3 linked regions of the Sus scrofa genome follow. The protein of the gene in region 2 binds, or shares a complex with, the protein of the main gene of each other region. Links are inferred from orthologs where the notes say so. Each region holds a gene or a part of one and is shown on either strand. Other genes may lie near its edges.

Region 1 (7,253 bases), on a different chromosome or scaffold from region 2:
GAGCAAGGCCAGGGATGGAACTGAGTCCCCATGGATACTAGTTGAGTTTGTTACCTCCGAGCCACGACAGGAACTCCACCAACATCATTTTAATAATATCCCTGAAGTCCTGTGACATTAGCCAAGCAGAAGCATTATCAATATTTGATGATTGAGGAAACGGGACATTGAGAGGTGGAGCAGTAGCCTGTCCAAGGGCGCTCAGCTGGAAGGGTGGAGAGTGGGGCTTGAAGCTGGGCCTGCTGAGTCTCTGACTTCAGATCTATTCATTTCTGCCAGTTTTTGCTGGGAAGATGAGTGAATCATTTAATCAATATTTGTTAGCCATCTTCTGCATGCCAAGCCAGGCTCTGGATGCTGAGGGGCATGGAGAAATACCACCTGGTCCCTTGATGGAACTTACCTAACAGATAAACATGACATGAAAACAAAGCTTCGTTTGTTGAGGTAGAACACAGGAAAGGTCCCAAGAGGGAAAGAGGCACTCTGACCATGAGAGGGGAGGCAGGCGGGGAAGGCTTCCTGGAGAAGTGACATTTAAACTAGGTCATGAAGCTTTTTCCAGTGTGGCTGCTGAGGAAAGAAGGCACCCGTCAGCCGTATGGATGGGGCAGCAGTGCCTAGGGGCCTGTCACCAGGCTCTTCAAGGTGCAAAAGAGCCTATAAAGTTGAAGGCGAATGAAGATTGTCATGACAAATGTTTTCCCAAAACTTATCATCAAAGATGGCTGTAAGAAAACCACTAAGAGCACAACTGCATGTAAGAAGCGTATGGGTACTTGCAGATGAATGTTCAGGTTCTTAGCTGTGGTGTTTAAAATTTCCTCATTGGAGTTCCCATTGTGGCTCAGTGGTAACAAACCTGACTAGTATCCAAGAGGACGCGGGTTCGATCCCCGGCCTCATTCGGTGGGTTGAGGATCCGGCATTGCCATAAGCTGTGGTGTAGGTCTCAAACAATGTATGTTGCAAATGTGGTTGGGATCTGGCTTTGCTTTGGCTATGGCTAGGCTGGTAGCTACAGCTCCGATTCCACCCCTAGCCTAGGAACTTCCATATGCTACAAGTGCAGCCCTAAAAATACCAAAAAAAAAAAAATTATTTAAAAAAAATAAAAATTCTTTATTGCCTGAAAGGTGAGGCATAAAATATTATGGAATAAAAAATGAAGACTTGGTCAAGAAGACATGCATTGAAGCAAATGATGAAAATTAACATTTTATTTAACATTCATTGATCAGCTCGCAATAAGTTATGTAGAAAAATACATGCTTGAATGATTTTAATGGCTAAGGAATAAAATAAAATAGTAATATCAAAAAAGTAAAATAAAAAAGTAATATCAAAAAAGTAAAATAAAAAGTAAAATAAAAAAGTAATATCAAAAAAATTAACTGGGAGCTCCCTCGTGGCTCAGTGAATTAAGGATCCTGCATTGGCACTGTGGCGCGGGTTTGATCTCTTGCCAGGAAACTTCAATATGCCGTGGGTGCGCCAAAAATAAATAAATAAGTAAATAAATAGGCTGGGCCATGAAAGTCCAGTGAAATGCATAGACTGGAGTAAAGGGGTCTGTGTACTAGAGATAAGGCCAGAGATGTAACCACAGCTGCTGTTTCTTAAGTGCCTAAGGAACTAGGCTGGGTGCTGAGAGCTTTACATGTGGTATCTCATGAGATTCCCCCACAATCTTATGAAGTGAGTGTCACTAGGGATAAGGAAACCCGAGCTCAGAGAGTTTACAGAACTTGCCTGGGGTCACACAGCTAGTGAAGTGACAGTGCCTGGGATTGAACCCAGGGCTGTCTGCCACAAAGTCTGGGTTCTTCATCCCCATGAATTATTACCACCTCATCCTGGAGATCTGAGGATCCGGTAGGTAGTAAGCTGGAGACTGACTCCAGAGTGCTTCGAATGCCAGGCTCAAACTTGTATAAAAATCACACAGCACCAGGCAGGAATCAGCAGATATGGAATTTAGCAGCAACTTCTGGAGCCTCTGCCACTCACTAGCCAAGGTCTCTTCTCTGAGCCTTGGCCTCCCTAAATTTGGAGAGATGAGGAATGTAAATGGATTATCAGCAATGAGGGAAGGAAGACCTGTGACTAAAGGATTGTTTAGGAGAAACCTGGAGATGTGCAATTATTTACTGAGTGATGGGCTCTGGGCATACACTGTGAACAGGTTGGAGCCCTGCAGTCTGAACTCCCAAGCAAGCCTGCAAGGGGCCGGGCACAGCTTGGGAGAGTGAGGGAGGAGACTTTTATTGGAACAAATAAGGGCCCAGGAGCTGGCCTGTCCCATGTTGAACTGCCAGACCTCAAGTCGCTGATCTCTCTGTGTGACCTTGGGCAAGTTACCTAGCCTCTCAGACTGTCCATCTTTGCCACGAAGAACATTGTTCCTCTTCTGAGGGTTGTTGGATTAAATTAAATGAAATAAAACGAAATCATCTAGCCAGGTGCTTAGCATAATCAATATGCCAGGTTATGGGAGCTCAATAGATGTCAGTAGCCCCCTTTGAAGAGGTACAAATGTTAGGTTCCGTCTTTCACCCTCTTGCCAGGAAAGAGTACAGGTTCCTGGCTTTCAGTTTCATTTTGGCTCTCATTTCATTTCATTTCATTTTAGCGGGGGGAAAAGGATATAAACACACATATGTTATCTGAACTATACGCAAACAAAAGGCCTGCGTCCTGGGCAGTGTACTGCTTGCTGGGTCTGGGCTCTGGTCAGGACTCCACGCCAAAGTGTTTTCCCTCACCTCCAGGGAATTCGGACCCAGTCCTCAGCTTGCGGCTGCCTCTACCCTGGGCGGGAACCATCCTCTCAGTCTGTTTCTCCCTCAGCCAGCGCTGGCGGGCGCCGAGCAACAGCAGGTGTAGCGGCCCCTTTAAGCCCCAGGCTCTTGTTGTAATCACCGCCTAGGGGTCGGGTCCTTTCCGGGGGGTGGAGCCTTTGCCTGTGTCAGCGACCAATCAGAGCGCGGCATTTTCCGCGGGAGATCCGAATTTCGCGGCACGCAGTTTCGCGCTAAAAAAAAAAAGAAGAAGAAAAAAAAGAAGCAGAGAAAGGTTCAGGGACTCGAGAGCGAGGCGAGAGGGAGTCGGTGCAATCGGTCTGTCTCCCCGATCCCAGCGCATCGCGTTTCTGCCGAGCCCGCGGGTACCCCAGAGACCCCTTCCCGGAGCCGGCTGGATCCCAGGCGCCTAAGCCTTCGGGGGCTCAGGGCCCTCGCTGGTCGCAGCCGTCCTCGGGGCGGGACAGCCCCTGGCTGTGCCGCCGCCGCCGCCGCCACCAAGCGATCTCCAAGCGGCGATCTCCAAGCGCTGTCCGGCTCGGCGGCGGGCCAGGAGGGGAGGGTCTGGCCTTGCCCCGCCGGCGTCCATTGGCGGCTTCCCCCGGCCTCCGCGCCATGCCGCGGGTCGTGTGAGCCACCCTAGGCTCCGAAGCCCGCAGGTGCCTGCGGGCGCGCCAGGCCCGGCTGGGGAGGGGGCGCTGCACTCGCCATGCTGCGAGGGCCCCGGGTCCTGGCTCCTGCCGCGGGGCCGCCCCCCACTGGACTGCCCGCGATGAGCCCCACCGAGCTGTGGCCGCCCGGCCTTAGCAGCCCCCAGCTCTGCCAGGCCACCACCACCTACTACACCCAGCTGTACCCGCAGACTATGCCTCCCGCCGCAGCGCCGGGCACCTGCCTCGACGCCACCCCCCACGGACCGGAGGGCCAAGCTGTGCGATGCGTGCCGGCTGGCCGGCTGCCGGTAATGCTGGGGACCCCCCTCACCCACCGCTTCCCTCTCTGCTTATCTGGGTGTGGGAAAGGCGGGAGGGACCCAGTCTGAGTGAAGCAGGTTGAATCTGGGGAGGGAGAAGGGGCGCTTTCAGCTTCCAGAACAACACATTTCCTAAATATCTGAATAGAAGAGCCTTTCGTTTTCAGACTTGGGGTGAAATAACCTCATTTCTTGGAGTGGAATGGAATGAGCACTGGATCAAGAGTGTGGAGACCCAACACTATCCTCAGTGCACCCTGGGGAAGACCATGGGATCAATTTGCTGTCATTCATTCTTGTGTTCATTGTTTGGCCCAGAAACCAGTGCTGGGCACCTGCTATTGTCCAGTCACAGAGCTGAGCCTGGGGACAGTAACAAGGGACTTTAAAATAGGGGGAGGTCTCTCAGGTCCAGTCGGGCTGAGATTCCAAATTTTGCACTGAGCCAACTCTTTCCTGACTTTTGCCCTAGGTCCTCCCCCAGGCTCAATCTTCTGTTCCAGACAGCCAGTAGCAGGTGCAAGTTGGGGGCAGCCCTCTGGGGTTCCTGTTCAGATTGACTGTTCCTTCTTCAAGCCCCCAGGCCCGTTGCCAGGGAGGGGCCAATGTGTGGTGGCACCAGACACAGGGTGTGTTGTGTGGGAGTGGAATTCCTGGAGCCCATGAGAATCGAAACAACCATAGGGTGGGGATGGAGTTGGAAGAGCCCTGAGGGTGTGGGGGTGGTAGTTAGCGAGCCTGGTTTCTCGTCCTGATTGCCATTTATTCGCTGTGTGTCCTTGGACAAGTCTTGGCCCCAATCTGAGTCCCAATTTCCTTGTCTTGAAAATGTGTGTCTGCATGGGTAGCTGTGGGACTAACTCACCTCGAGTCTCTTCCAGCTCCAGGTCCTGGGTTTTGGAAGCAGGCTCCAAGGAGGGGAGATGGGGCTCTTGTGGGTTTGCTTTGTGTGAGTGGTGAAGTAATTCAGGTACAGGGATAAGACCACCCCTCTGCCCTAGAGGCATCTGGTCAGACCTGTGTCAGTCAGCAGGCATAGGTCTCCAGCCACCTCTGGCTACGGGCAGAGTCCCCCACTCCCTGCTGCTTGAATCCTGCTTTGCCCATGCTCAAGGCTTAAAACTTTTCAGGGCTCCTTCCTGAACATTATTTCCAACCAGGAGAAAGGAGCAGGAGGACTTTTCCTATTTCACAGGTCAAACAGCCAAGGGTAACAAGGACTCTGCACCTATATTTTATTCAGCATTTTACAGCCTAAAACAGTTTTGAAACCTATAAAGTAGGTGGTATCAGTGTGCAGGGAGGGAAATAGTCTTGCAGAGGGGATGGGACCTGTCCAAGGTCACACAGAGAGATGTATGACCCACAAGGCAAGTGATCATTAGTTTCTTCCCGCAGCCTTGACTTTCCCCAGTACTGCCTGATGTAGGAGCTGGGTGTCCCCACGGAGGGGGCTCAGCGGTGGGCCCAGTCTCTCCTCTGGCCAGCTGCTTTCAGGCAACCCGGCAGAGTTTCAGTAACAGCTGTGGTTTTGAACTGCTTCCCTCCCAGAGGAGTCGAGTGCATCTGTCCGTCCCTCCCTCCCTGAGAGGCTCAGTGATCACAGCAAGAATGACTCTCTTTTATTGAATGCCTCTGATGTGCCAGGCACTGCTTGGCACTCTTCGCTTTCGTTATCTTGGCCAAGATGCCTGGCAAGAGGCATCTTACAGATGAGGAAACTGAGCATAGACGTGAAGTCACTTGTCCAAGCTCCAACCAAGACATGGTAGCATCTCTTTGCATCAGACCACCCTCAAGGCATTTGGGGCCTAGAACCCCCCTCTCCTGTTGGTCCCCAGCTGCCCTGTGCCCCTGAGTCCCCTGGGCAGGCCTTGGCCCCCTGCTTACTCATTTTAACAGGGTGTGACCTGGAATAGCTCCAGACCCAACCCTGGGTGTGGCCCCTTGCTTTGTGGCCAGGCTGCAAAGTGCAGGGTGAGCAGGATTTGTTGGGGAGCTGCTGTTTAAAGGGACCTTAGGCACTGCCCAGGGATGGCAGCCAAGTTCAATGGCAGAATGAAGGCGGGAACCCAGGTCTCCAGAGCTCTCTCCGCCACCTCTGGAGAAAGTGTGGGATGTTCCTTGGTTAAGTTCCTACTGCGCCAGGCACGTGGCCTCACTCTATGCCTTTCCTGCAGGAACCTGTGACGAGGGTAGAATTCTGCATAATTTGTCTGTATTTTCCAAATTTCCTCTGAGAGCCAGGAAAGAAAATGAACATTTTAATGAAAAGCCTACAATGCGGGTCAGATGAGGAAATGAAGGCCTAAGGAGGGAGGCAGCAAGCCCCTCTCAGGCTACCAGGCAGAGCCGGGATCTGGAAACCAGGCTCTCAGCAACTTACACTGGCTCCTGCTCCCACTGTCTAGCTTGGGACTTGGGGCTTAGGCAACACCTGCTCCACTCCCTGTGTGACCTTGCGCAAGTCACTTCCCCTCCTTCGAGTCCCAGTCTCCTCACCTTGCTGCCCATCCAGGGGCAGCATCTGGGGCTCTGGCCCTCTCACTTTGAGGGCTGCCCGCTCTTCTCCCTTGGGGTTGGCAGAGTACTTTCGAATCCTAACCAGGCCTTTAAGAAACAGCCAAAGGGGCTGCCTAAGAGGTTAGAGGTCAGGTTAGAGCCAGCTGGCCTTTGCTCTTGGCACATCCCTGTTGCTTTTCAGTTCACCTCCAAGCTTTCCCTTTGTGGACTTTAGCGATTGCGGCTCCCCGCATGAGCAAGAGCTTTGAGCTGTGTTCTCAGTGGATCCTCGCCAGGAGAAGGTAGAGCGTCCCCGTTTTACAAGCAAAGCTCAAGAGGTCAGCAGACTTGTCCAGCTTACCCAGCCTAGTCAGGAACCCAGATGGCTTTGACTCCAAGCTCTGGGTTCAGCTTCTCCTTGGTCCTCATTCTCCTGGGCTTGGCCTCCGTCACTTCTGTTCTGCAGACTCAGGCCCATCCCTGATGAGCCGACTTTTCTCTGGGCAGTGTTCAAAAGGGGCAGAGAGACATTCTCGGGTGGGGGACATTTTGCTGCTCAGGGACCCTGAGAGCGCAGGATAAGGGTGAAGGAGAAGAAGAAAAGGGAGGGGGCTGGTGCGTGCGTGTGTGTGGTGTGTGTGTGTGTGTGTGTGTGTGTGTGTGTGTATAAAGTGATGGAGGCAGGTGGACATAACCAGGCCTTGTTTCAAATGTCAGCAAATTCTGGGCCAGTGTATGTGGGATGGAGCTGAGCAGCCTGATACATGGCTTTGGAGTCAGACAGACCTGGGTTCAAACTCTGGCTCTGCTCTTTGTCTGGGTGGCCTTGGGTGCGTGGCTTAACCTCTCTGAGCCTCCATTTCTCAACTGCCAAGTGAGATTACCATACTGAGTTAGGATGGGTGAGCGTGTGATAGGCCCAGTACAGGTATCCTGTCCAAGGTCCTCTCCTCCTCCCCGCCCTGTAGGTAGTGAGG
Region 2 (6,573 bases):
GGTGGTTTTTTTTTTTTTTTTCCCTTCCCCCCTGCTTATCTTTACACAATGAATTTTGCATTTTTTAAGTACCGTATTTCTTTTCCTTGAGTCTCTCCCAAACCAAATATTTATGGATGATTTCAGCCCAGGCGCAACCCAGCTGTCGACATTTAAAGCAGGTCTCTCTAAACATTAAAATGAAACCCAAAGTATCACTGAAAACAACTACTTCTGGTAGACAAACAGCTTATTTCTTCCTAATGTTTCCTTTTCCTTTCTTTCATCAAAGACCATTTATGAAGTTCTCGCAGAAAGTAAAATAAGCAGGTTGTCCCTGAACACCACGAGTTTGTCTTGCTGTGACCAAGCTAGCTTAATTTCTTTAACAAGTTAATGTCACAGCTGTTGACATCATACGACCCAAGTAACTTTTACCTACACGCCATCACTTCTCATTTATCCTTGGTGATAATGTAGGAGTGGGATGATGTGAGTAGGTTAGATTTACAGATAACCCAGGTGCCCTACTTTTATCAATACAGTTGTCCCTTGAAGCCCTTAAACCTTTTACAGAGCTACTAATGCAGAGCACAATGAACGAACACACCTGAAGCTGTTTAGCCTCTGTCAGTGAGCCTGGAAAAGAACAAAAGGCTGTGAGTTCCCTTGTGGCTCAACAGGTAAAGGACCTGGCGTTGTCACTGCTGTGGCTCAGGTTCAGTCCTTGGCCTGGGAACTTCTGCATGCCCTGGGTATGGCCAAAAAGAAAATAACAACAACAACAAAAGACCAAAAGAAATTAGTTCAAAACAAATGGGGAGTGGTATTTCTTTTTTACTCTCAAAATAACATATGTGTTTTTACTGCTTTCTTCACTTGAAAAATCTTTGCTGTCAAGGGAACATAGTATCGAACAATGAATCATAAATACATAAGAACTGTTACTTATCCCTGTTTATATCCCCCCCCATGCCAACCCCCTCCCAATGGCACTAGGACCACAAAGCTAGGCAAAATATAGGGGCGTCTCTGAGATGCTTTTTCTAGAAGAGAGCAGAAGTATTCAAACATACAATTCATTTCCCCAGTTTTACAGGTTCAGCATATTTTTTCTCCATATTAAGTGAAGGAAGTATTGAATATGAAATAGTCTTAGTTCATTAGCAGCAGAAAATAACACATAGGACCCAAGTAATGTTTGGTAATGAATGGTATCGACAGTGATGGTTTTGGGTAGTGACTTTTGGACACACTTTTAGGCCTAGAATATACTGGTGTCCCTTCTGTTTCGTGCATTTTCAAAAAGTAAATGTTTACTTTCCAGGGAGATAGCACCCAGCCATTTAAAAATAATAATTGTAACCAAACTTCAGTAAGGCCCAGAACCTAAAATAAACCACCTTAGAATAAGGCTATTGAAATGTAGAAAATAAACTCATCACTGCTGGGGGAGAAGATGGAGCAAGCCGAAGAAAGATTCCAACTTTAGTTTTTAAAACTAGTATCCGTTCTATGAGCAGATCAAAGACTTCAGTTGCCTAAGGTTTTTGTAACTGTGGGTTCTGCCTTATTTAAAAAGCGGTAGTAGGGACCAGGTCATGGAGATGTAGTTCCCTCGTCCCCTGAGACCTCGCCCTGGAAATGACCTTGCATCTTCTTTTGGTCTGACAGTGGGCCCCAGGGACTGGGGGCTCGCACCCTGCAGGCTGGCCCTACATCTGCCCTCTGCAGAGGGTCCAGGGGGAATTCACTGCCTACCCTTCCTGCCTTGTGGACAGTAGCTCCTCTTAAGCTAACTGGGCCATAGTTTCATGTTGATGGCAGAGCCATAGAGAGAAAGAAATTTCTGTGTGCAAGTCCATTTTCAAGCCTGTGCATTATTTCTGCCAACATCCCATTGGCCAAAGCAAATTACAAATCAAATGGTAGGGATGTAGGAGCAAAGAGAGAACTGTGACTTTTTTTGCCATCTATTACAATGATTACATTGAAATGTCGTTTTGTGCCAGAGGAAGCTATGGCCTCAAAATCCTGACAATGGTCTTGTAGGCAGACGGTGAACTGCCCCAGACAAGCATTCCACACAGTTGCTTGGGGGAGCAGTTCCAAATGATCTGCGACTACAGTGGCATCGTTAGAAGGAAGGGTCTGGCCTCTGAGGTGACTTTTGGGGCGGACAGTGCCCTCTTGGATGAAGGTTTTAGATGAGGGTTTCATCATGTGCTGGTTGGGTGGAACCAAGTCTGCCTTGAAAGTTTTACCTTGTGGTCCCCAAATGGAAAACAGTGGGGGGGCTGTGGTAGGAATTCCTTTTGTGGCTCAGGGGGTTAAGAACCTGACTAGTACCCATGAGGGTGCAGGTTCACTTCTTGGCCCTACTTAGTGGATTAAGGATCCTGCATTGCCACAACTTGCATGTAAGTCGAAGATGCAGCTCAGGTTTGATGTGGCTGGGGCATACGCTGGCAGCTGCAGCTCTGATTCGACCCCTAGCCTGGGAACTTCCATATGCTGCGGGTGCAGCCCTAGTAAGAAAAAGGGGAGGCGGGGGTCACTTTCTATGCCTTATGAGTAATGGTTATAACTAAAAGTAGCGAGATTCAGTGTAAAGATTCAGGCCTTGGTATATCTTAGAATCAGTTTCCTCATCTGGAAGATGTCAGGTGGGCAGAGGTTGGGCCAGGTTCCAGACTCTGCCCTCAGGATGCTTAGAAGTTCTGTGAAGGATCTCAGGTGAGGGCAGACCTGTTGGGGCTTAGGGCTCAGGACTCAGTCCCATGCATCCAGCCAGAGCAATGCTGCTTTCATCTGTTATATAAATAGTGGCTGTCCCAGAAGATGTCATTTGAAGAAAGGGTTCTGTGGCTTTATAAAATTTGCATATTTCTGGGCTAGACAATCTAAGAAGTGTATTTCATGCTAAGCTCTCAGGAGTCTGTGTTAGATAAATGAAAACAAGTCCACTTGGTGTCACTTTCTCTGTATTACTCACTCTATGAGTTGTGGGTGCACTGGCTTCTCCCAGATCTGTAAGATCCTGCTTTAGTGGGTGGTGGAAGCCATGGGCCCTATTATTTACATTAGGATACGTTAGACACCATTTAAGAGTATATTTTTCCCTTGAAATTTATTGAGTTGGATCGTTCTAATCTTTCTTCTTAAATATTTAATTTTAATTAACCCAGAGGTGAAAGGCCTCTTTAAATGCTCTCATTTTAAACTATATTTTAAGCGTATTCATCATAATCCATTTAGTTCCACCTCCTTTATCCACATGAAATGACTAAATGTATGTTTTTATTGATCATCACAGCAAATTGCTTTCAAAAACCTGGTACAGAGAAATCGGCAAAATGAACAGCAGAACCAGGGCCCTCCAGCTCTGAACTCCACCATCCAGCTGCCGTTTATAATCATCAACACAAGCAGAAAAACAGTCATAGATTGCAGCATCTCCAGTGACAAGTAAGTGGGGAACGAGCAGCAGAGTGCAGGGCTCACCTTCTAACGTTATGCCGAACAATTGCAAAATTAAGAGGGTTGTGCTCCAAGGCTGACTTCCTCAAGGCATATGAAACGGCTTTGCAGACATGGGGTGCCGTCACCTGCTAGTGCTTGCTCTGTCATTCACCCTCCGCAACCCCCTCTCTTGGGCCTGGCCCTGTGCTGCCTTTGTCATATGCATGGTGGTGCCCATGTATGTACATGTAGGTGGTGTAACTCTGGGCAGGTAAAGTAGAGCATCACTCAGGTAGGTTCGCTGGTGATTCACTGTCGTAGTTGATGCTGAGAATGGTTTAGATCAATGCTGCACTAAAGCAGTTGTTTTCCTTTGCTGTGTCAGAGTTGAGTGTGCTTCTCTTTATGATGAACGAACAGATGTGAAAATGCTAGATGTGTTCTCTGCTTTCTTTCTTATTTATCTCATCCTGTGAAGTCTGTACCTTTTGACCATCTTCATTCATTTCACTCACCCCCCATGTCTGGCAGGTTACCAGTCTGTTCTCTGCATCTGTGAGTTTGGTTTTGTTTTTTTTGTTTGTTTGTTTGTTTGTTTTTTTTGGTCTTTTCTAGGGCCACTCCCGTGGCACATGGAGGTTCCCAGGCTAGGGGTCTAATCGGAGCTGTAGCTGCCAGCCTATGCCAGAGCCACAGCAACGCGGGATCCGAGCCACGTCTGCAACCTACACCACAGCTCACGGCAACGCCAGATCTTTTAACCCACTGAGCAAAGGCAGGGATCGAACCCACAACCTCATGGTTCCTAGTCGGATTCGTTAACCACTGCGCCACGATGGGAACTCCTGAGTTTGGTTTTGGTTTTAGTTTTTGTTTTTTTAAGATTCCACTTATGAGATCGTACACTATTTGTTTTTCTCTTTTTGTCTCACTTAGCGTAATACTCTCAAGGGGCATCCATGTTGTTGCAAATGGCAGGATTTCCTTCTTTTTTTATGGCTGAATGACCCATTGTGTGTATACCCCACATTTTCTTTATCCATTCATCTGATGGTGGACACAGATTGTTTCCATGCCTCGGCTGTTGGAAATGATGCTGTAGGCAGTAAACATGGGAATGCAGGTTATCTGCTCAGGATTGTGATTTCCTTCAGATACATACCCAGAGGTGGGATTGCTGGGTCATTTTAATTTTTTGAGGAACCTCCATACTGTTTTCCCGAGCAGTTGGACCAGTTTACATTCCCACCAGTATGATTTTCATTTTAACTAAGATTGCTGCTACTGTTTATCATACTAGGTAAGCAGTAGCAGTTTTCAAATTACAGAATTTGTAATTTATTTTACTCTTCATGAAGACAGTAGTGGTCTTCAGGCTGTGACCATTATCGAGTTAGTTCAGGGCATAGGGTGCGGAGTGAGACAGATCCAAGTATGGATTGTGGCTCCCCCATTTAACTGCTCCAAGCTGTTTTCCTAAGAACTAATGGGGACCGTCCAAGGGTGTCTCATCACTTCGGTGGCTGCCATGATGCTTAAATAAGATGATGCCTCTAAGAGGTCTGACTCAAGGCAAGTGCTGCTGTCCCAAGGAGTCAGCATATAATTTGAGAGCAAAAGAAGGCTCAGTGATCACAGAGGCACAGCCCAGGACTGTTCCAGGGCTGGAACTGCTGGTTTCCTTAGAGCTAGGGTGTCACTAGGGGGCTAAATTTACCGTCGCTGGCGTTTCCCACTCTTTTCTCTAGCAGTGTTGCTTTCCTGTCTGTCCTGATTGCATACAGAGATTCTGGGTCACTTAAATAAGAAGGCACTTAAAAAAAAAAAAGGAGAAGGAGGAAGAAGAAGAAAAAATGAGGGTTTCAAAAGTATTTGATAATTAAGACTACAGACACAACTGGGAATTGTCAGGACCATGCAGGCTGTGAAGTCAGAAGATCCATTTTTCAGTCTTTCCTCTAACTACATAGTTTCTTAACCTCTCCGAGATCTCATTTCTTCCTCCATAAAAATAAGAATTAAAGCATTTATTTAACTTGCTGGTTTGCAAAGGTAAATCCCCAAAAGACCAGCCCACTGGTCAGTAAATGGTAGGTGTGTTAGTATTCACACACTTAAAATTCCTTACAAAAACCTATGTCTACAAGGACTGTTAACCATACTCTCTCATAAATCTGAGAATTCTAGAGAATGGTTAACATATTTTCAGGAAAAATGAACTGTTTTTGTGGGGAATTACTAAATTCTGTTCTTTGGTTCGTCTTAAGTCTAAAAAGAGTAGCAGGTTATCACAACATTGTATATCAACTGTACCTCAATAAAACTTAAAAAATGGAAAAGATAGGAGTTCTGGTCGTGGCTCAGTGGTTAACGAATCCAACTAGGAACCATGAGGTTGCAGGTTTGATCCCTGGCCTTGCTCAGTGGGTTAAGGATCTGGCTTTGCCATGAGCTGTGGTGTAGGTTGCACACGCGGCTCGGATCCCGTGTTGCTGTGGCTCTGGCGGAGGCCCGCGGCTACAGCTCCTATTAGACCCCTAGCTTGGTTTCTCCATTTGTCGTGGGAGCGGCCCTAGAAAAGGCAAAGAGACCAAAAAAAAAAAAAAAAAAAGGAAAAGATAAATAAAAAGAGCAGCAGGAAAGTCTGGGGACCAGTAGCCTAAAGGATTTATGGATTCTCTTCATCTCAGGCAGGGGTTCTAGTGAGGTTTCCTTCTTGGGTGGTTACTGACTCCGCCCTTTCCTCGCCCTCCCCTGAGTGAAAGAGGCACTAAGCTGCCTGAAGCTTGTCATTCAGGGTGGGGTCGTAAAGCCTGGTCTTCTGGTTATTTTGGTGATGTAGTCTTTCACCCTTAGCCGGGAGGCTTTCCCCCAATGAGGATTACATTTACAAAACTATCAGCTTTTAATGTATGCCTGAAATCATCCCTGTTGCAGGCATCCACTCCAGTTTGTGTGTGTGTTTCTGAAAATGTTAATGTACTTTATTCAACTTTATATACTTCAAATTACTTCAGTATGCCATTTTGCTTTAAATTGAAAATTGTGCCCTGATCTAAGATCTGGCATAAAAAGTTTTACACTTACCTGATTTTAATAGAATTTCGTGACACTGTAAGCCCACCATTGTCC
Region 3 (7,184 bases), on a different chromosome or scaffold from region 2:
TTCTCTCTAAACTGAATTTTTTTTTTTGGAAATATTCTAAGGGACCCCCATGTTCATAACAAGATTATTTATAATAGCCAAGACATGGGAACAACCTTAGTGTCCACTGATAAATGAAGAGACTGAAAATAGACACAGGGAGTTCTCATTGTGGCTCAGAGGTAACGAATCCAACTAGTATCCATGAGGAGTAGGTTTGATCCCAGGCCTCAAACAGCAGGGTAAGGATCCAGCGCTGCCATGAGCTATGGTGTAGGTCACAGACATGGCTCGGATCCTGTGTTGCTATGGCTGTGGTGTAGGCTGGCAGCTGCAGTTCCAATTTGACCCCTAACCTGGGAACTTCCATATGCCACGAGTGCACCCTTAAAAATAAAAATAAAAAAATTTTTTAAAGTATCCAAGAAAATAGATCATACACAGTGGAATTATTATTTAGCCGTAAATAAATGAGGAAATCCTGTCATTTGCAACAAACTGGACAGACCTTCAAGGCTTTATGTTGAATGAAATAAGTCAGAGAAAGACAAACACTGTACACTCTCACTTACACGTGCAATCTAAAACAAGCAAACAAACGAATAGACAAAGAGATCACACTTGTGGTTATCAGAAGTGGCGGGGGCGGGGAGAGGGAGAATTGGAGGAAAGTGGTCAAAAGGTATAAACTTCCAGTTACAAGGTAAATTAAGTACTAGGGATATAATGCACAACATGACTATAGCTAACACTGCTGTATGATACACAGGAAAGTTAAGAGAGTAAATGCTGAGAGTTCTCATCAAAAAGAGAAAAAAAATTTTTCCTTTTCGTCTTCCTTTTCTTTCTACTGTATCTGCATAAGATGGATGTTAGCTGAACCTAAATACTTAATCTAAGCGAATTTCCAATGGTATTCTAATTGGTAGAGAACTCAACTCTAACAAACTGCCTTCAAAAAAGGATTCAAAAATGGTAACAAGAAAAAGAAAGAAAGAAAAGCTGTGTGAAACCAAAAAAAAAGCCAATTTTCAAAATACTAAGGAACGTTACTATGGATAGTTCAACCATAACAAAAATAAACTTATTGAAGGTAGGATCCAATAACCTACAAGTGTGCCCACGTGATACCACAATCTGGGGCATAACTCAAGAGTCTACTGTGAGTATTATTTTCATACATTAAGTAATTAATGGCTTTACTTAGATTTCAATTTTATCCTTTTAAAAGATGTCCCAGCAAATTCAGCATTAAAAAGAGAAACAATAAGTGACCTAAACTTTTTTCACATCAAGATAATTTGAATTAAATCTTAAAGACAGAAACAGGTGGAATGCTAAAAATAGAAGTGAGAGAGCTAGGCAGTGGAATATCTTAGGATGAGATACTTATTTAAGTTCAAAGTGTTCAACTTGATTTTGCCATGTTAAAAAGATTAAGAGAAGGGTGAAGCTCTGTAAAAGATGAGCATGAAACTTTTAAAAATTAAATGTGCAAATAGAGTGTCAGTGGAGATGGCTAGAACACCAAAGGGGAAAAATACACTTCCAATATTCTCCCTGGCCAAAGAAAGGAAAAGAAATTGAGAGAAGATGGGGTAAAATCAAACATGAGGAACAAAACTTAAAAATATAAAAACAACTTTGGTGTTCCTGTCGTGGCTCAGCGATTAATGAATCCGACTAGTATCCATGAGGACACAGGTTCCACCCCTGGCCTCACTCAGTGGGTTAAGCAGCTACAGCTCTGATTCAGTCCCTAGACTGGGAGACCCCTAGCCTGGGAAACTCCATATGCCGCAGGTGTAGCTCTAAAAAGAAACAAAAAAATATATATGTATACACAACTTAGTAATAAACTAAAATTTTTAAATAGCAATTACTTCTACTTCTCTCCCTTGGCTGGTTTTTTAAAATTGTGATAAGATATACACAACATAAAATTTACCATTTTAACCAGTTTTAAGTGTACAGTTCAGAGGCATTAAGTACATTCACACTGTTGGGTAACCATCATCACTATCCATTACCAGAACCTTTTCACTTTCCCAAACTAAAAGTCTATACCCATTAAACAGTAGCTCCTCATACCCTTGGTTAACTTTTTAAATGTCCTTTTTTTCCAGGCAAAAAAAAAAAAAGCACATTTTAACAAGAGAGCACCCAGGCAGAAGAATCTCTTTTGACTCTTTTTTTTTTTCTCCTATATTTTTGCCATTTCTTGGGCCGCTCCCGCGGCATATGGAGGTTTCCAGGCTAGGGGTCTAATCAGAGCTGTAGCTGCCAGCCTACGCCAGAGCCTCAACAACTCAGGATCCCAGCCGTGTCTGCGACCCACACCACAGCTCACGGCAACGCCGGATCCTTAATCCACTGAGCAAGGCCAGGGATAGGACCTGCAACCTCATGGTTCCTAGTCGGATTCGTTAACCACTGAGCCACAATGGTAACTCCTCTTTTGACTCTTTACACCCATAATTTCCTCTGCAGTACGTACCCATGCTCAAAAAACTTAACACTCAGTTAAAACTTAAGACTAAGTAATACATTATTTATGTATATATCTAATCATTCATTCAATAAATGTGAATTGAAGACCTACTTCCTGCCAGGTACTGTGCTAAGCCCTGGGATCCAACTATGAACATGACAGTCTTGGAATTTACAAGCTAGTGTGAAAGGGGCAAAGTTAACAGAATAACTATGCTGTGGATGAGGGTACTGAGATAGAATAATGGTGAAGTGAGGCAACTCCAGAAACAGATACAGTGTTCTGGGAAAGCCTTTTTGGGAGGTGACATTTAAATGAAACTGAAAAAATATTACATGTTTGATTAATCTTTTCCTCTCCCAAAGCAATTAGAATAATAATGCCTTTCGAATAGTGGATCTCAGCATAGCTTTCCAGGCCTCAACTTCCTCATTCTTGAAATGAACTTCCAAGATTCCTTCCATACACAAAATTCCTTTGTTTGAGAGAAAACTAAGTATAAGTGAAATGGACGTGGAGATGCAAAACTGAGTTTAGAAACGACTGCAAGCATTTTGTCGAGGCAAAAACTGAGCTTAGAAATGACTGCAAGACCCTAACCCTAAAGCAGAACGGAGCGCAAAACCCTGTGGATATACCAAAACCACTTAATTGCTACCTCAGATGACTTGCTTCTTATACAACATATAAGCAGAAATCATTCATTCACTCAGCCTTAGGAAACAACACATAACATAGAAGAAAGACGCTGAGTGAATGAATGTGCATGACTACACTAAAAAGCTCAATTGTCATTTTCCTAGGGACTCTCACTGAGAGGGACCAAGAGGGGTCTCCTGCTTCCCTTGCTGCCAGAACAACGGTCCCAATCCGAGGAGGGAGGAGAGAATCACATTTTCCTTGCGGTTCAATCCCGAGATTAGGTCTGCCACCAACCCTAGCTAGCGTGAGAGAATCGTTCCAGATGCTCAAAGAGAATCGAACCTTCAAAGGGGCGCCCTGAGAAAGAGAAAGCTACACTGAGACACCTCCTTTACCCCAGCAGTATCTCCTCCTTGGCCCTCAGCCTCACTCAAATGCGGCTAAAGGAGGACCAGAGAGGCCCTCCTTGTTTTGCCCGGAATGGGTCCCAATCGGGTGCCCTACTCCATCCGCCTGGCACACTGCAAAGAAACTGGGCACCTCCGGAGCCTCTGTGAAGAACCAGCGAGCTGAAGACGCACCCACATACCGTGGGAAAGTAAAAGGGAAAGGCGAGAAGGCCACGAAAAAGGTGTAAGTTAGAGGGGCAGACGGAGAGATTCTCTCTGAGCATCTGTAAGTTCCCAGGAGAACAGAGAAGGAGGTCGCAAGCGAAGGGTCTATAAGCCGGCTCTTACCGTCTGTGGGAGACGCCATCTTCCAACCCATGTCACGTGACGTTGCCAACCGTCGGCGGGAAAGCTAGGGTCCATAAGCCACGCCCCCAGAGAGAAACCCTATTCCCCAACCCTCTGTCCTGTCTCGTTTCCCCGCCCCATAGGGTAATCTTCCGTAGCCCCGCCCCCAGGGCTAGCCACACCCCCTCGCGCTGTGGATGTGCTGGCGCTGCTGAAAATTCTTGCAGAGTCCTATTTACTTTCCTCAGTGAGTGGGTGGGGCTGCGGCCATGCCTGTGGCCAATCGGAGTTCCGAATTCGGGGGCGTCTTCCTCGTGCTCTCAATATAGAGTATCCAAGTCAGGGGCGTCTTCCCCACCTCCGCCAGCAGAATTTGTTGAGGCGGGAGGAGGCGAGAGCTCTATCACTTCTGACCAATCGCATACGCCCAGAACTGGGCACTGAGGGCGTGGAGTCAGTGTTAAGGCGTGTGATTGGCTAGGGGAAATAGTCCTCTCCACCAATGAAGAGGTTCGGCAGGATGGAGGGGCAAGGCCTAGCAGCAGTAGTGTTTCTGGACAGTCTCACAGAAAGGCGTGGGGGGCTGAGAAGAGGCAACCGAGAACCATGGCGGCGGTGCTGGCTGCGGCGGCAGTGCGGGCCCGGATCCTGCAGGCGAGTGAGGGTGGCGCCAAGGGTTCATGAAACTAGGAATTCAGTCCTTTCCATCCGCTTTGTGAACCAACCCCCCCTTGGCCGACCCTCCTATTCCCATCGGACCTGAGCGGCCCTGTCCCACATCTCACTCGGTATCCACTTGCGTTGGATCCAGCCCTGGACTATTACCCGTGGCCTTTTTATTCTTGAGCCTACCCCTTTCAGGCTTTAGACCATTCTCCTCCTCCAGCCGTGCCCGGTCCCTGCCCTCACCTCTGTAGGTCTGCCCACCGTCTTTCCCTTTCACCTCTGCACCAACCACCTCTCTGCTCCAGAAGCTCCTTTTCTGGTCGCCTTTCTTGGCATTCTCTGGGAGCGTCCAAATTGTTCCCTTCCCCAACCCTACTTCACTCTATAACCCGAGGTAAAGGCGTGGGCGGAGGGGAGGAGGAGGAAGGACTTGAGGGGTGAGGGTCAGTGAGTGAACTTTGAGTCTCCTTCTAGAAGTGCACACTAAGCTTTCCCTCAAAGCAGCCATTTGCTGAGCTATCTTCCCCAGCTTTGGCTCTGTATTTTCTTTTTTTCTTTTCTTTTTTTTGTCTTTTTGCCTTTTCTGGGGCCGCACCCGCGGCATATGGAGGTTCCCAGGCTGGGGGTCTAATCGGAGCGGTCTTCGCCGCCCTACGCCAGAGCCACAGCAACGCTAGATCCGAGCCCCCTCTGCGACCTACACCACAGCTCACGGCCACGCCGGATCCTTAACCCACTGAGCAAGGCCAGGGATCAAACCCACAACCTCATGGTTCCTAGTCGGATTCATTAACCACTGAGCCACGACGGGAACTCCGTGGTTCTGTATTTTCCACAAGCTAGGCTGTCCTCTTGGCTTGCTGAGACTTTGAGTTTAACTTTTGCTCAGCCAAGTTAGTGTTTATGTTGGCGGTGAATAAGGACACATAGTTAATGCTACCCGGTTTGTTCCAAGCACATGCAAAGGACTAAACACCTCTGAAACAAGTGGCAGAAAATAAAAGCCAAGGAAAACAGGTGTAACGTTCTAAGTTCCCACTCCAAAATCACCTTAGTGTGACTCAGTTCTGCCCTCAGAGGTGGGGCTGGGAGTGGAGGTGGAGGGACCAGGTCCTCTCTGAAGCCAGCCTAAGGGCAGACAGTAGATAGAGCTACAGGAGCTGCCTGCCTGAGACCTGTGATTTCCAACTATTCATACATAGCTTTTCCTATGTTGTCCACAGCCTAGCAAGGACTTGGATTTTGAGGTGAGATTTGCCACAGGCAACATTCAGGAATCTGCAAAAAACAACGTTGCTTTTCTTACTCATTATATCAAACCTAAGAAAGTCTTCCTCTATACTACTGGACTTTTAGATAGTATTCACCAGATTTCAGTGAGTTCTACTGCAGAGACTATGCATTTTAAAGATTCTTAGCAGAGTCAGCAAAAGTTCCTGTTTAAATATGCTATTTAATGGGACAGTGTGAAGAAAGGGTTGGAAGGGTTTGTCAAGTGATCTGGTTTCACGCATATTTATTTTTCTTTTTTCTTTTTTTTTTTTTTTTTCAATGGCCACACCCTTGGCTGTTGAAGTTCCCAGTCAAGGGATTGAGAGTTTTAACCAAGCCATAGAAGCAGCAATGCTGGATCCTTGAAACCACTGTGCCAGGATTGAACCCATTCCTCAAAGCAAACCTAGTTGCTGCAGTTGGATTCTCAACCCTGTGCAACATTGTGGGAACTCCCATTCATATTTCTTGATGTGATCCTAGTTCTGTTTTTCTAGTATCTTTTTCGTTTTTAGTAATCTTTAGCCAACTAGAAATTACTGTGACATAACACTCTGATAAAGAGTAGTCTATGGGAGTTCCTATTGTGGCTCAGCGGTAAAGAACCCAACTAGTATCTATGAAAATGTGGGTTCGATCCCTGGCCTTGCTTGGTGGGTTAAGCATCTGGTGTTGGGGTGAGCTGTGGTGTAGGTCATAGACACAGCATGGATCCTGCATTGCCATGGCTGTGGTGTAGGCTGGCAGCTGCAGCTCTGATTCGACCCCTAGCCTGGGAACTTCCATGTGGTGTAGGTGCAGGGCCCAAAAAAAAAAAAAAAAAAAAAAAAAAAAAAAGGAGTAGTCTAGTTTCTGGCAGTCATAATATTATCACTCCCATTTAAAGATAAGAAAACTGGTCTTTGAGTTGCTCAGTGACTTTTCTCAGTGATGCAGTATAATGAGCACAGGCTTCCCAATCATAGTTGGATTCTGTCCCAGCTCGACCACGTCCTAGTTTTAAGAATAGTTGTAAAGATTAGAATATCATGAAATAAGTTACCTGACACTAAAGGTCATCCAAAGTCTCCCAGCTAGTAACCAATAGGGCTGAGAATTCAGGACTTAAGTCTTCGTATCTCTTTCTGTGTCAGGCTCTGTCACAAGTTTGGAGAATGGAGCAAACTACTCAATGAAAGCTCCCCTGTTATAACACAATGATAAGGAAACAATAGGAGTGCACACAGTACTGCAGAAAGAGCTCCAAGCTCAACTTGTGCAGTTCAGCAGAAGCTTCCACAAGGGGTTGATCTAGGTTTGTGTCTTGCAAGCCTGAGGCAGCCTTTAGCTAGAGGAGAAGGGTGTTCCTAGTAAAGGAAATAGCAAGTCTGAAACAAACATCCAGAGAGCCCAAAAGT

The links.
Region 1: TFDP2 (region 2) and E2F2 share a complex: the UniProt entries of both Homo sapiens proteins name them as parts of the DRTF1/E2F transcription factor complex. The link is inferred for Sus scrofa from reciprocal best matches to the Homo sapiens genes TFDP2 and E2F2.
Region 3: TFDP2 (region 2) and LIN52 share a complex: the UniProt entries of both Homo sapiens proteins name them as parts of the DREAM complex. The link is inferred for Sus scrofa from reciprocal best matches to the Homo sapiens genes TFDP2 and LIN52.

The regions. Positions count from the first base shown.
Region 1 is NC_010448.4:81,394,604-81,401,856, reverse strand, and holds the start of E2F2 (transcription factor E2F2), read left to right. Parts: upstream 1-2,994; 5' UTR 2,995-3,510; coding exon 3,511-3,762; intron 3,763-7,253. UniProt on the Homo sapiens protein: Transcription activator that binds DNA cooperatively with DP proteins through the E2 recognition site, 5'-TTTC[CG]CGC-3' found in the promoter region of a number of genes whose products are involved in cell cycle regulation or in DNA replication.
Region 2 is NC_010455.5:82,764,884-82,771,456, reverse strand, and holds part of TFDP2 (transcription factor Dp-2), read left to right. Parts: intron 1-3,295; coding exon 3,296-3,447; intron 3,448-6,573. UniProt on the Homo sapiens protein: Can stimulate E2F-dependent transcription.
Region 3 is NC_010449.5:97,379,053-97,386,236, reverse strand, and holds the start of LIN52 (protein lin-52 homolog), read right to left. Parts: upstream 4,218-7,184; 5' UTR 3,881-4,217; coding exon 3,850-3,880; intron 1-3,849. Other genes in the region: ALDH6A1 (methylmalonate-semialdehyde dehydrogenase [acylating], mitochondrial), read left to right, coding at 4,456-4,503.